Kluyveromyces lactis: one gene and its partner. The protein of the gene in region 1 binds, or shares a complex with, the protein of each later gene. Links are inferred from orthologs where the notes say so. Each region holds a gene or a part of one and is shown on either strand. Other genes may lie near its edges.

What was found.
Region 2: the proteins of CIN8 (region 1) and TUB2 are in contact, whole or in part, in a cryo-EM structure (PDB 6S8M), measured with the Schizosaccharomyces pombe proteins. The link is inferred for Kluyveromyces lactis from reciprocal best matches to the Schizosaccharomyces pombe genes cut7 and nda3. Residues at the interface, in NP_594527.1 of Schizosaccharomyces pombe: Glu217, Arg233, Val234, Phe235, Glu236, Arg345, Gln352, Arg359, Ala368, His369, His370, Pro372, Arg374, Glu375, Ser376, Arg380; in NP_596650.1 of Schizosaccharomyces pombe: Pro160, Asp161, His190, Gln191, Glu194, Asn195, Phe260, Pro261, Arg262, Met406, Glu410, Ser413, Asp417, Ser420, Glu421, Gln424.

What each region holds. Positions count from the first base shown.
Region 1 is NC_006040.1:89,541-93,477, forward strand, and holds the start of CIN8 (kinesin motor protein CIN8), read left to right. Parts: upstream 1-1,569; coding exon 1,570-3,937. Other genes in the region: KLLA0_D01001g (uncharacterized protein), read left to right, coding at 1-60; rRNA-binding ribosome biosynthesis protein UTP23, read left to right, coding at 347-1,153. UniProt on the Schizosaccharomyces pombe protein: Could be a spindle pole body motor. On transition from G2 to M phase of the cell cycle, the spindle pole body duplicates; the daughter pole bodies seed microtubules which interdigitate to form a short spindle that elongates to span the nucleus at metaphase.
Region 2 is NC_006040.1:454,654-457,783, reverse strand, and holds TUB2 (beta-tubulin), read left to right. Parts: upstream 1-1,173; coding exon 1,174-2,523; downstream 2,524-3,130. UniProt on the Schizosaccharomyces pombe protein: Tubulin is the major constituent of microtubules, a cylinder consisting of laterally associated linear protofilaments composed of alpha- and beta-tubulin heterodimers.

The DNA of each region.
Region 1 (3,937 bases):
CAGGTCAACTGGTATATCGAGCTACTCATCATTTTGATTGCAAGAAGTGTATATCAATGACCTGTATATATATGTATGAACTTTTTAAATTTAAAGGATGTGCTGATATGCGTACGATATGCACTGGTCGCAGTCCTTTTCAATGCTTTACTTTGTTTCTTTTTCAATCTTTACATTACAGAAAATTTTTGATTTTCAAATATAAAGATACTATGCGATGAGGTTCGATGAGATGCGATGGTGTAGCTTCAACAGCTTCTGTTTAATATATCTATCCACACTACGACGGCTATAGTGACCAGGTTTATCACTCAATAGATCCATTGATACATTTTAAAAGAAAAAAATGCGTCAAAAGAGAGCCAAGTCGTATAGAAAGCAGATGTTGGTTTACAACCACACTTTCAAGTTTAGACAACCCTATCAAGTCTTGGTAGACGATCAACTAGTTCTGGAGACTTTCAACTCATCTTTTGATTTTGTGAAGGGATTGCAAAGGACTTTGCAAGCTGAGGTAAAGCCTATGATTACTCAATGTTGTATGCAGTCATTATACCAAACGAATAATCAAGGAGCCATCGATGCAGGAAAACAGTTTGAAAGACGTCGTTGCAACCATGATCCAAAGGAGCCAAAGAGCGTACTAGAATGTCTCACGAGTGTTGTGGATGTGAATGGGAAGAATAAGCACAGATATGTGGTAGCGACACAGGATGTTGAAATTAGAAGAAGGCTAAGGAAGATTCCTGGTGTTCCCTTGGTATACATGAACAGATCAGTGATGGTGATGGAGCCGTTAAGTAATGCCAGTGAGAAAGTGAGTCGAGAAGTGGAGGAACAGAAACTATACAAGGGTTTGAATGACCCCAAGTTTGCGGGTATTGCGCGTGACGAAAATGATGAGGCAGGTGCCGAGAATCAGGAGAATAAACCGAAAAAAAGAAAGGGGCCTAAGGAACCTAATCCACTAAGTATGAAGAAGAAGAAAACGACTGAGTCAACTGGTTCAATTTCTTCACTGTCTGCTTCGTCTAACAACATATCTACCCCTACCGAAGCGGGCGATGTTTCCGGCACTTCTAAGAACAAAAGAAGAAGAAAACATAAGAAATCTAACGATAAACCTAATGATTCGGCTGATTCAATACAATAAATTTTACACAGCCCAGAAACATAAACTCTTGTATCAACGAATGCTACGCAGCGCCTCTTCAAAAGTGCATATAGTATTCCTCTTGACTGGTTAACCGGCATATATAACAAAACTACAAAGATAGGTAAGGTGTTTAATAATCACGTGATATTTAAATCATTCGATACGGGTATTTCTTTGTTCTTTTTCAATGTTTACAATATCGAATAATGGTAAACAAGACAAATTGCATGTCAGGTAAACAAAGAATAGCATAGTTCTACCGTGACAATTGAAACCCAAGAATACCCGCCTAAAGTATTCTAAAACCGCTATAGCATTGCGTAGTAATTGTATTATTTTTTTGAATTTATTAGAACGTGTTGTTGGTATAATAATAGGATCACGTTTGCGAATCATTCTTGAAATAAACCATAATGTCTGCGACCAACGGGAGTCCTGAAGGCGATGAATTGAATATAACAGTAGCTGTTCGATGCCGTGGTCGTAACGAGAAAGAGATTAAAGCGAAAAGCTCTGTTGTTGTGAACTGTCCCGATGTTATTGGTGCTAATGAGGTTTCGATCAATACCTCCGGTGACATAGGAATCACTGCAAGAATGAATTCAAAAACGTATACAGTGGATAAAGTATTCGGACCAAGTGCTGATCAAAGTCTGGTATTTAAAGAAATTGCAGACCCAATGTTCCATGACTTCATCAAGGGATATAACTGTACGATGTTGGTTTACGGCATGACCTCAACAGGTAAGACATATACTATGACTGGTGATGAAAAATTGTACGATGGGGAATTGAGTGAAGCAGCAGGCATCATTCCAAGAGTCTTGTTCAAACTATTTGACACTTTAGAGGTGCAAGAAAGTGATTACATGGTAAAGTGCTCATTTATTGAGTTATACAATGAAGAATTGAAGGATCTTTTGGATGACGGCCAGGACTCCGGCGGTAATAACAGTAGAAAGTTAAGAATATACGATTCGCTTAACAGCAGTAACAATGTGACCAATGTGAATAGCCGGTCAAGTTCTAGATCGAATTCTCCTACCGTGAATTTAGAAGCTAAAAGAAGAATACGCGCAGGAGCATTATATAAACCGAAACCAAAGCTTCCAACCCAATCTCAATCTAATGGACAACAACAACAACAACAACAACAGCAGCAGCAGCAGCAGCAGCAGCAGCAGACTCAGGGCCAGGTTAATGAGCAAAGTTCTGCAATCTATATTCAGCATTTGCAAGAGTTTCACATAACTGACGCCAAGGAAGGCTTACGATTACTTCAAAAGGGCTTGAGTCATAGACAGGTCGCTTCTACGAAGATGAATGACGTTTCGAGTAGATCACATACCATTTTTACTCTAACGTTGTACAAAAATTTCAATGGCGAAACTTTCAGAGTTTCTAAGATCAACTTAGTAGATCTTGCAGGATCAGAAAATATCAGTCGATCGGGGGCACAAAATCAAAGGGCAAAAGAGGCAGGGTCCATTAATCAGAGTTTATTAACATTAGGCCGTGTAATAAATTCGTTGGCTGATAAAAATGCCCATATCCCATTTCGAGAATCAAAATTGACAAGACTACTACAGGATTCTCTAGGCGGCAATACAAAGACAGCTTTGATTGCTACTATATCACCGGCGAAAATAAATTCAGAGGAAACATCAAGTACATTGGAATACGCTACAAAGGCGAAAAATATCAAGAATAAACCTCAGTTGGGTAGTTTCATGATGAAAGATATACTTGTGAAAAATATTTCACATGAGCTGGCTAAATTAAAGTCAGATTTCCTTTCTACCAAATCGAAAGAGGGGATATATATGAGCCACCTTCATTACAATGAAGTTATGAATGATATAGAAAACTACAAGACAGAAATCCAAGAGTCTAGACGAGAAATCGAAAAGCTTTCTTCTCAGAATCAATTGTTACACAAAGACAAAAAATCTTCGCAAGATACAATCGAATCTCAAAGGTTGCAAATCCGGAACTTGCAATCAAGCATGGATTATCTATACGAGAAGATAGATTTAAAACATAAAAACGAGATTGAACTAACGAACATGATCATGAAATTGAAAGATGCTGTACGGAACATGCAAGGAGCTTTGAAAACACATGAGGATCATGAACAAAGGTTACAATCCGATATCCAGAAAATGTTATATGATAATATCTTAGAGTATCGGAGAAAAATTGAAACGAAATTGGACAACTTAAAACAGCAAGCTCTGGAACAGTCCTTCACTATTGATGATGATATCAATAATGTAAAAGATAGCCTAGAAACACTGTTGGAAACTGTTAAGAAGGATGCTATTATCATGTGTGAAAATCTGGCTCAGAAAGTAGTGGGAGATCAGCCAAAGTTCTTTAATTCGATGCTGTCTGAATTGAACGATATGTTTTCAAAAGTCGATGAACATACAGATCGGTTAAAGGAGGGCTTAAGTCAGATCACAGCCGAAAATAACAATTTGAAAGCTTATTTGGATACTCATTTTTTTAGGAATAATCATCAAGAAATTCTAAATGTACACGCAGATAAAACATATCACCAGTTGAATCTTTCATCGAAGCATTTAATGAGCAAAATCACAAATATAATCAGTGATCATGTCGAACAAAACAGAACATTATTGATGGATACATTGAAGACTGCCACCACCGAAGTCATTACTCAAGAGATGTCTCATTTCGAACCAGTCAGGAAAACATGGGAACAGTCATTCAATCACATTAATGTATGTGATTCTTTGAGCAATAAATTCAAAGATG
Region 2 (3,130 bases), about 370 kb from region 1:
CCGCTAAGTTAAGAGTTCACAATCAACGATGACAAAAACACCTTGAAAAGCTAAATATGTAAACAGCTTTCGTCTTCAATACACAATCAGTTAATCAATTGATAGCCAAAAATATAAGAAAAAAAAAAAAAAAAGAGACCTGCTAACCTGATCCGATTCGATTCGGTTCGAAATAGAATACCGTAGCTTAATCAAAGTAACCTTCCGATTACTATATACATAAAAATGTAGCACTGGACAGATCAATTCCAACTAGTCAAACCCTCTTTCGCTTCTCCAACTAATAGGTTTCCTTCTCTTAACAAACTGTACTGGACGTTTTTTCCCTCTTTAAATTTCCTAATCCTGAAATCCGTTTCTCTTTAAATTTTCACATCGTCTTTAAATGTCAGCTAGAATCGAAAGTTAGGGAAAATTGCAGTATTCCAGTTTCCGTATGATTCTATCATATACGGAAAGTCAGCTGTGAAGAAAATGATCCGAGAAAATAGTCTGTTCAGTCTTTGGACTCATGGAACACTTCGACAACTATTCTAAATCTTAGGGGAATGTGTTGCTCACTTGCAACCTCAACTCTTGTCTTTAGATGAACTGACACTACGCAGGAATTCACACATCACAGTCACGTGCAAATCACGCGATGTAAGTTTCCGTTTCCCGTATTACCCGCACACTTAGCAACCCACAAAGGGAAATAGACGTGCTCGAAAATTGCCTAAAGAAGTGAAACAAAGATCAAAATACAAACAAAGATATGAGGAAAGAGAAGGAGGAAAAAAATAAACAAATAAAAACAAATAAATAAACAATTTAAAGTGGTTAAATAAGTGAACACAGACGTGATTGTGAACAGGCTTGCACGGGTTAGAGATAACTTTATAGATAACAGCTGTGAGAACTCGTCTATTTCGATTTGTTAGTTTGTTTGTTTAATATACTGTGGACAAGACTACTATTTTTACCCATATTATATTTCACTTTTTTCTTGTAAAGGACAGAGAGATCGCATAATTATTTTTTTTTCTTGAAAGAACAAGGATCAACAATTACTGGATTATAGATACCCCTCGATTGTATCAACACCAAGTCTTTCTACAATTTGCCTGTGCTGTGTTTCTTCAATTGTCATTTTTTGAGATCAGATCAATAACGCGCTCAGAGATATTCTAAAACATGAGAGAGATCATTCATTTGTCCACAGGTCAATGTGGTAACCAAATTGGTGCTGCGTTTTGGGAAACTATTTGTGGTGAACACGGTTTGGATTTTGAAGGTAACTATCACGGTATCGATGATATTCAAAAGGCTAGATTGAACGTTTACTTTAACGAAGCCTCTTCTGGTAAATGGGTTCCAAGATCCGTTAACATTGATTTGGAACCTGGTACCATTGATGCTGTACGTAACTCTAAGATTGGTACTTTGTTCAGACCAGATAACTACATTTTCGGTCAATCTTCAGCAGGTAACGTGTGGGCTAAAGGTCATTACACTGAGGGTGCTGAATTGGTGGATTCTGTCATGGACGTTGTCAGACGTGAAGCTGAAGGTTGTGACTCTTTGCAAGGTTTCCAAATCGCCCATTCCCTTGGTGGTGGTACCGGTTCTGGTATGGGTACTTTGTTGATCTCTAAGATCAGAGAAGAATTCCCTGACAGAATGATGGCTACTTTCTCCGTTGTCCCATCCCCAAAGACTTCAGATACCGTTGTAGAACCATACAATGCCACTCTATCTGTACACCAATTAGTCGAACACGCTGATGAAACTTTCTGTATCGATAATGAAGCCCTTTACGATATATGTCAAACTACTCTAAAATTACCACAACCAGATTATGCGAACTTGAACCATTTAGTTTCAAGTGTCATGTCTGGTGTCACTACATCCCTACGTTACCCAGGTCAATTGAACTCAGATCTAAGAAAATTGGCCGTGAATTTGGTGCCCTTCCCAAGATTACACTTCTTCATGGTTGGTTATGCTCCATTAACCTCGATTGGTGCCCAATCTTTCAGATCCCTATCTGTATCAGAATTGACCCAACAAATGTTCGATTCAAGAAATATGATGGCTGCATCTGATCCAAGAAACGGAAGGTACTTGACTGTTGCTGCATTCTTCCGTGGTAAAGTAAGCGTGAAAGAAGTTGAAGATGAAATGCATAAGGTTCAAACTAGAAACTCGTCGTACTTCGTAGAATGGATTCCAAACAACGTGCAAACAGCCGTCTGTTCTGTACCTCCAAAGGACTTAGACATGTCTGCTACTTTCATTGGTAACTCTACATCCATCCAAGAATTATTCAGAAGGGTCGGAGATCAATTTAGTGTTATGTTCAAGAAGAGAGCTTTCTTGCATTGGTATACTAATGAAGGTATGGAAGAAATTGAATTTTCTGAAGCTGAATCTAACATGAATGACTTAGTAAGTGAATACCAACAATATCAAGATGCTACTGTTGAAGATGACGAAGAATTGGAATTCGTTGACGAACAACCAATGGCTGAAAACTTCGAGTAAAGAATATAAAGGAAAACTTCAGCAGGAAAAAAAAAGGAATAAGGAACAAAGATCAGATGTGTACAGAAGATAAGTTTATCATTTTGAGAGCAGTACCACTGAAAGCAAATTATTTGGACACGAGATAAACAATAAACAATGTACTTCAGAAAGATATTTTCTTTCTTCTTATAGTTTTCCTTTCGTTACTTCTACTATTCTAATACTATTCCCCACACCACTAGTAGAAGCGGAAAATTTCGAAATATGATACCACCCTTACTATAATTTATATGCTTTTTGTTTCTCTGCTCAATGATATGTACTATCAATGTGACCCAAAACATTTCTTTAGTATTTGTTTCTATTTTTTTTTAATAATATCATATCTTACTACATAATTTTAGTCTTCACATTATAATACGTGATTCTTCATGATATATTTGACTCAGATGTCAACACAGTAGTATGTGAATGTTTCAATGACTTATCCTCTTCCCCAGGCCTGATCAATCATTTCACAGATCAACGAAACATACCAAGAACAAAAAGAAATAAATTTTTCACAATAGTACCCGAAGAAAAAAATTAATAAGGAACTAAACTGATGTGAAATATTGAACTGAAG